2 linked regions of the Arabidopsis thaliana genome follow. The protein of the gene in region 2 purifies or fractionates together with the protein of the main gene of each other region. This does not show direct contact. Each region holds a gene or a part of one and is shown on either strand. Other genes may lie near its edges. The genes, in order: SUMO3 and SEX1.

Region 1 (3,502 bases), on a different chromosome or scaffold from region 2:
TTATGAGTCAAAACATAATTCACAATTCTCAGATAACTTTTGTTTGCTTCAAATTTAAGCCAATTAAAAGTCACGCTTACACAATAATCACTACCTCATAGACAAGCTAACCAGAATAGAAATTGGGAATAACGCAGACAAACTCAAAACCCTAGAATTGAAGCAATCAGAAGCTATAAAGATCCTAATCACACTCAAAACTTTAACCAGACAACGAATCGTTACACAATGCAAGAAATAGAAGTCGAGAGAGTGAGTGAGAAATAGAAAACCTGTCCCTTGACTTTGAGATTGATGTGAGCTCCTTGGTCAGGCTTCTTGTCTTCTTCCGGAGTAGCAGACATCTTACTTTATTATCAGATTATACGGTCGGCGATTGGAAACAAGAACTTCGATCTGCGATATAAGCGAAGCCCTAAGAGAGATTCGCGGGATTGCAGAACTTGAGGGTTTGAGGGAGAGAGAGAGACTCGGCAGAGAATAAAAAAGACTGAAACCACTATCTTTGGTCGCATCGGATTCTTGTTTATCTAACGGTTCATAATCATTGATCTATATCATTCGACGGCTGTGAGTGAGTATAATCTCTAACTTAAAATGATGTCGTTTTAGCATTCTTAATGGGCTCAAATGGGCTGGTTACTTCTGTGTCTACCCAAGAATTTTAAAATGTGAAAATCTCAGCTTTCGAGTAGATTTGTTTGAGTTGGGAAAAGTGAAGATGTTCAAAGTGAACCGTTTGATTTTGATCAAACCAGTAAAGATTTCAATTGTTTAATATGGTTTTGTTGTGTGACCTTTTACAATTAGCCAACTTGAGTTTTAGAGGTTTTGATGAGTTGTTTATTCACGGTTGTAAAATTAACAAAGTACAAAGATTCTAAAAATCCGTAACCAGATACCATTAATATCATAATTCATAAGATCCAATCACTCATGAGTCATTTACACACACGATAACCGACCATGATTTAAACTTCAAGTAATTTTGCTTGAAGAAAGTAGTCAAATATCACAAAGCCAGCCAAATTATTCCTAATTAAAGCCCATTATGATCGAAAAGCATATAAGACCACTGACGCTGATTTGCTCGTAGACCACCACTCATCGCCCGGCACGCATCTATCACATCTCCATCTTCCATATCAAGCTTTAAAATTGGAGAATCTTGGTTTAGTAAATGATACACTTTTGACAAACATATAAATTGTAAAAGGGAAATGAAAAAGAGAGTGATTTGCCTCATCTGGAGTCTCCAGGCCACCTATACGAGCTCCATTAAAAATGAAAGCGAATGCGTCTAATTTCAAACCTCGGCGGTCGCAGTAAACATACATGAGCTTTTTAAGTGGAGCGCTTTTTTTGTTCTTAAATAAGACTTCGTCTCCATCCTTAGTATCACCAATCAAGAAAAAAGATTTTAATCACTCTATACTTTAGATCATCACAGTTTGGAAAAGAGTATCATCAAAGTTTTCATATCAAGAAACTGTATATATAGTATTATCAACCAAGCAGCAACGACAGAAAATTTCAAGGAGATTAAAGAGGGAACACAGTGAAAAAACCTGGCTCTTGACCTTGAGAATGACATGAGCTTCTTGTTCTTGGTCGATGGGCTTGTCATCTTGAGGGTTAGACATCTTTCCTTTTATCAGATTTTATGAAACAAAAACTCCAGTCTGTGAGAAATACGAAGGCCTGATAGAGAGATTCACAATACAGTATTGCAAAATAAGGGGTTGACTTTTGAGAAAGAGAGACTTGTCAAAAAAGTGACTGAAACCAGTTCTTGATCGCACTCACTTTTGATCTACAGATTCTTGTGGTGATATATCGAACGGCTCATAATCATTGTAGCTTATCATCCGACGGCTAGGAGAGCGTGGAATTCGTACATGAAAACACTGCCGTTTAATCAAGCATTCGTAATGGGCTATTGGGCTGGTTTAAGATCAAATATGCTCATATGTGGGCTTAATTACTTCTACACAGTATATAAAGTTGGAACCCATTTTCGTGAACCGACCAAATAGTTTTTAGAAAATTTATAAATCATATTTAAAAATAAAATCTAATTACCACGGTAATCTAATAATTTCAAAAAAAATACAACAGTTAGAAACTTTTAAAAATCTTAGCAAACATAACTTTTGTGGTATTTTAAAAAGAAACTCAAAATTATGATATTATTTGACAAAGTTTAGGGCAAGCTCTCTTTATAAAATTTATATATTTCTTGATGTTCTAAACTTCTAATGCATGCATGGTTATTATTTAATATTAAAAAATAATGTACGTCGACCGTCATAGTGTGTAAATGGTTAGTCTATGTTTCGTGACGACTTCTATTTCGGCCCGACATAATATATTTCCAGTTTTTAATTTGATAAACTAATAGGCATTGTATCGTAACGTAAAGATCAGGGACAATGCTAACATTCCTATCTAAAACTCAATTTGTTGGACAGCATCCAAGTGACCTACCACATTGAATTCTTTCTCTTGGTTGATAAGAAACTAATAATGATGATGTTATATTTATACGAATATATTAGTTAACGTTTATATTTAGAAATTCGTCATAAACTCATAATAGTTACAAATAAGTCAATCTGAAGGTGACACACCTCTCTGGATATTATAATGTTTTCAATTTTCATATGGACTTGTCATTGTGTTTCATTTTCAATTTCATGTACCGACTTAAGACTTAAGGGCCTTGTCGAAACATACCGTACGATGTCGACAACCTCCATAGATACATTATTAAATTATTGTTACTTTCATAATCCAAAAATTAAATTGTTATACTAAAGTATATGTAAACCAGCATACATTGATACATATAAGATTACCACCTAGTGGACAAGTTGATACACAAACAAAAACATGTATATAATCATCAAATACAATATTACCAAATGATGATGTCTATTATTTTCTCTTTTGATAGTGGAGTTATTATGATGTCTACTCTTAATTAGTTTCATTATTCAGGTCTCAATCACCGAAGATAAAACTATATTTCAAACTGTAGTAGTAATTACCGTATGTGTATTAACATTCTATGCCTATATGTACATAACCGTTAATATTCGGCCACAATTATTAAATTCAAATAAATCTAAAAAGCATCTTTCACCAAGTAATTAGTAAAACTAGCCGTAAATGTCATCCAAAATTCTTGGTTTTACATCAGAAGGAAACATTAATTGCTTAGCGATAGAGTTCTATTTGTATAGGACAACTAAACTCTACAAATATCGTTTTTTGTTTATCCATGGACGGAGATGGACCATTTAGATTAATTCATTATTATACTACTGGAAAATAATTTGAGGTGTTTGCTTAGCTTAGCTAACCTTAAAATGTTCATTTTTCCTCCGCACATCTAAACGCGTTCATTAGCCCAATTTGCTAAGTCAAAATATTAGTTACAACCAACTTGTGAATCAGTCAATGTTACTATCAAATATTTCATATAAATCTATACTTGGAT
Region 2 (4,846 bases):
GTAATAACTTGGCATTAGAAGATACTGATGGATGTATATCTAACCGGAATAGAAATAAAAAAGAGAGCAAGATAGTGATGCTATCAACTGACCAAAATCGCACTGCCTTCAAGCTTGAATGTTTTCTTGCTAAAGACTGGAGTGGTTTCTTGTTCCTCCTTTGCTTTGGCGTATATCTCCAGAGTTGTTAAGGACCGTGGTTCAGATGAGGATTTGGATTCTGGTTCAACAAAATCAGCAACATGCTTATAGATAAGCTTAGTCAGGTCCCTTCCCTTGCGCTGGATCTTGTCAGTGTTATAATTTTTTTTACGCTCTGGTTGCTTGGAAACTTTTTTCTTTTCCTCCCGTCCACTGGATGATGTCCCATTAGATTTTGGGGATTCATTACTGTTATCTTTCTTCAACAGCTTTGCTCTGAGATCTTCCACTGAAGCACCTCGCATCATTTCCTCCCGTAGCTCCGTCCGGGCGGCTTCATACTCCTCCTATTGATCAGAGACAAATTATTCTGCTTAGCTATAAAATAATGGATTTACACAAAAATGCAGAGAACTTGATATTGATGCAACTGAGATATATACAGGTTCATCAGATAAAGCAACAAATATATTTTCAAGAGCCACCAGAGCCAACTAAAACGCTATTACCAAAAAATCAATCAAGAGCATTTTCAACTTAGCTAACCTATCATCAATTTGCTGATCAGTCCAATATACCAGAATCTGCATCTAAATCAAAATTGTTGGAAATTTGTACTGGTGATGGAATCAACTAAATGGCTGGTGAGAATCATGATTCCTCTTTATGTGAATTGTAGAACAACATAAAAGGTGAAGAATTTAAAAATATATGAAGAAAAATAATCCTTGAAGATATGCTTGTATAGGTACAACGTCTGACTGACCTTCTCTTTCTCAGGGTTGTACATTTGTTTACCCTTACGTTCCCATCTAAGATATGCTTGGATCTGTACAAGATCTTCAGGAACAGAAACATTTTGTTTCACATTCCTTTCCGTTGGTAAGTTTATATGAAAATTCTGACCATTATTTTTATACCTGCATATGTTTTAGATTATGAGAAACGACAAAAATTGTAAACAGAATTAGGTTCTCTGCTCAGGCTTAGTAAGTAAGAAGAAGCGAAAACAAGCTAACCATTTGTTCCGACTTTCGTCAAATATAAGGAACTCAATAGCGTGTATGGCAGGATCATCTATCTCTAGTTTAAGGTGAGAATTGCCACCGGACTGCAGATAAGAACTCAAAGCATCATTTGGAAATCTTAAGTTGTACTGGTATCAGCTGGAAATCATACCATCACAAGTAGCGCTGTAATGTACGTCGAAGAATGAATTCAAAGCTTACTTTCACAAATGGAGTTCTAAGCGCACTGTTCTTGAAGTTTTGAGTTCTATCCGGAGAGCGAGAAGGTAGAACCCAATTTCTGACATGGAAAATAAGAAAGATAGTTAACTATACCATGTGCCATAACAAGCTATTACCTAGGAAAGTTGAACATCACTAGACAAGGACATACTCTTTGTTGTCAAGAATTGCACCCCAGTGTAGGAACAATGTGTCACTTGTATAAGCTATCTGGATATTTACTTCTCTTACAGTTGTAGAAGTGACTTCAACCTATTCAATTACATTCATAAAACCTACCATTAAGTCTACAAATGCCAACAAGATAGAAATTTCCATTATTTGTAAGGATATACTTACCAGTAAATCGATATTTCCGTCAAGACTAAATTTCTCGGCTGCCTGTTAAAGGATGAAACTTTTTAGCACACATGTCGATAAAATAACTATCTTATGCATTCAATTGGAAGAACAATGCATATGATTCAGGTCAATGAAAAAGTTTTGGACATGAAACGTCTAACATACATTGAGTAGTTGGAACCAAAATATCACATTCCAAACAATGTCAATAGTGGTGAAAAGTAAATCCATAAGAAAATAACCTGAGGATCCATGGCAAGGACAGCTCGTGGAACAAATGAGAGAGGTCTTCCTCCTGTTTCAGTGACCAGACTGCGTCCTGCCTGCTTAAGACCTTTCCCGTAAAGTTTTGATCTGCCAATCTTGCCAAGAGCCGGATTTGCTGTTGAAGTTTGGTACACAGAGGAGTTGAGCTTGTTTTGATGTTCAAAGTTAAGAGGACGAATCAAACCCCGGTTAAGTAAGTTATGCACTACAGAGTTACTCATGCTTTCTTGTCACTGAATCAAACTTGCCGGATCTGTTAAGTAAAGTAGAGATTATATAATAAGATAATAAGGAAAACAATGAAGCTTTTGCAATAGATGAGAAAAAAAAGGAACAAGTTATACTATTTGTCTCAAAAAGAAGAATCTGACAGAGTTAGACAAGAGAACCACACTTGTTATTTTTATTTTATTTTCACTTTGTAGAGAAACAGTTACTTCATTCTGCGAATGGAACATGTGCAATATACACTAAGAAGAAAAGAATCGTCTTTTATAGTCAAAACGAAAATATCTATCAAAAGAAAATTTGCAATTTGAATCAAATAACAAAAACACCGAAAGCAATCGAAATTGAAGGTAAAATTCAATTGAAAAAGATACCTGATGATCGAACCGAGACGAAGAAACTGAATACAATGAGAGAAAGAGAGAAGATCCCAGAATTTGAATGATCTTATGGATGAAGTGAGTGCTGGGGGGTTTCTTCGCTCTTTGTTCTTCTTCACTCACTCACACATACATACACTCACGTGTAATCGAAGTAAAAAACGACACTTTATCCTTCGATTCCACCACGTGGCACATCGTTATTCGAGCACGTAGGAGGAACGGCACGGAGAAAGAGAGCCCAGTGATACGTTGATGGACGGTATCTGTGGACTCCACCTTTTTTTTTTATTTGGGTGATATTTTCTTATTATATACAGAATCTTCTCACCGTTGATTTTAGCTTTTTTTAATTTTTCTTTCTTTTTTCTATTTTCCTGTTTTTGTCTTTTTGTTTTGATATTTTTATGCTTCGTTCTCTTGTATCTTTTTTTTATTGGTCGACATGTTTTTTTTTTTTTTTCTCTTGTGTTCACAAACCACGAATTGCAGAAGATATTTTTGTTTATCTTTCTATTCTTGTAGTGATATATATCCCAAGCCCACTTGTTCAATCATGTCAATTATATCCTAGCTAAACCTTATTTGGTGTTTTTGTGTGGTGTTTCTTCTATAGAGAGTTTTACACATTGTGGAAAACAAAATGTATGTTAAATATAGAAGCAAAGGATAATTTTGTATAATGTTATGTGTGTTTATTATGGTCCAATATTTTTCAATCCAAATCAAAGCAATTCTCACTTTCTTAAAACACTTAAAGACATTGAAACATGATCATTGAGCAAGATCTATCAGTTTTGCATGAAAGAAAAATTATTGAATGCTTTTATGATCATATCAAACTATAATATACATACAGATTTTAAGAAAAAGAGTTAAAAGACCATTTTAAATGGCAATATTTTTATCCAATATATGATATAGCCAAATTATTTTCTCAAAGATATTTTTTTGTTATGGATCCTGGGAAAAGTAAAACATAATCACACATATACTTTCTAAAAACATCATAATGATATCCATATCAATAATGAATTAGTGATAGTAGTTAACAAAACAAAAAGTTGTGCATTACTATAGTTTGTGTTTGTCTTTGTCACTTATTGTTTTATTTTTCGGTCAAAACTTAATCTTATTGTTGATAGTGAAAAAGTAAAGTGGGTTCAAGAAAGGAGAATGGAAAACATTTCTATCGGCAAATTGTTGAATATGAAAAAATCTACTAGCGATTATTAATTACACGAAATTCAAATATAATTAGTTACACCCAGTGGCGTTACATACGAATGATGGATCAACAACAAACATCTCTCTCAAAACAAAAACAACAAAAAGAAACCCAAATTTTAATTGCTTGAGATTTTTTATTTCTTCAATTAATTAGTTTTTGTTTTGAGAAAAATTAAATCAATTGTTCTCTTAAATCGATCATCTAATCAATGTAGACAACGCCAAGCAATTGCTGCTAATTTTTCTCAAGTCAACCACTGCATTTTGGATCGCATTAACCTGTTGTGTTTCAATGAACCCGTCCACACATGCACCGTAATCAGACACAGCCGCAGTTAGATACGTGTTCATCGCCGGCACATCACGTTTCCTTATGCTCTTTCTCGCGCTTGCCAAATTGTAAACCGCGTCGCCCAATGTCTCGTAACACGTGCTGACCGCTTGGTTACCGTTTTTGAACCTAGCTGTTTCGGCTAGAGCTAGTTTCGTCTTAGCCTCCAAAGCTTGGATGGTTCGGTGCGTGGCTTTTCTAGGGCTCGTGACACGTTTCACCAGAGGTCGGCACAAAGATGGATACGCGGTGTGAGAGCAGATATTGATCATACGCGACTCCGCGACTTGACCAGCCATGAGAAAGATCAATACGGCGGCGGATGCCGCGACTGCTGCAAAACGCAGCTGGAATGTGTCGCGGCCCGCCATTTTATTGATATTTATTTATGTATTTGAATTGAGAAGAAATTATCACCAGGTCATTTTTCAATGCAGGAGTTAATCACGTTATATATAGACAAGTTTTTTTGGTTTTGAAATTGTTGGTGGTGCGCGTTTTGCGTTTTCTCGTTTTATTTTAATGTAATGCAATCTGAGGTTTATCTTGTTTTAAGGAGATTATCTTCTTTTATCTTTTTTAAGCATAGGACAATACTTCTTTGATACATAAGTATACTCCAAAAACAAACTTTATCATAAACTGTAATTATATTCTGCTAGATCACTACTAGTATA

What was found.
Region 1: the proteins of SEX1 (region 2) and SUMO3 purify together in Arabidopsis thaliana (affinity purification with western blotting, with the first as the bait; one study listed by BioGRID). This does not show direct contact.

The regions. Positions count from the first base shown.
Region 1 is NC_003076.8:22,384,429-22,387,930, forward strand, and holds SUMO3 (small ubiquitin-like modifier 3), read right to left. Parts: upstream 1,778-3,502; 5' UTR 1,644-1,777; coding exon 1,569-1,643; intron 1,392-1,568; coding exon 1,242-1,391; coding exon of another isoform or gene 1,151-1,241; coding exon 1,040-1,150; 3' UTR 829-1,039; downstream 1-828. Other genes in the region: SUMO2 (small ubiquitin-like modifier 2), read right to left, coding at 273-344. UniProt on the Arabidopsis thaliana protein: Ubiquitin-like protein which can be covalently attached to target lysines as a monomer. Does not seem to be involved in protein degradation and may function as an antagonist of ubiquitin in the degradation process.
Region 2 is NC_003070.9:3,587,823-3,592,668, forward strand, and holds the start of SEX1 (Pyruvate phosphate dikinase, PEP/pyruvate binding domain-containing protein), read right to left. Parts: upstream 3,107-4,846; 5' UTR 3,054-3,106; intron 2,978-3,053; 5' UTR 2,603-2,977; intron 2,254-2,602; 5' UTR 2,222-2,253; coding exon 1,976-2,221; intron 1,773-1,975; coding exon 1,731-1,772; intron 1,644-1,730; coding exon 1,543-1,643; intron 1,450-1,542; coding exon 1,371-1,449; intron 1,253-1,370; coding exon 1,161-1,252; intron 1,062-1,160; coding exon 908-1,061; intron 489-907; coding exon 93-488; intron 1-92. Other genes in the region: AT1G10770 (Plant invertase/pectin methylesterase inhibitor superfamily protein), read right to left, coding at 4,037-4,540. UniProt on the Arabidopsis thaliana protein: Mediates the incorporation of phosphate into starch-like alpha-glucan, mostly at the C-6 position of glucose units. Acts as an overall regulator of starch mobilization.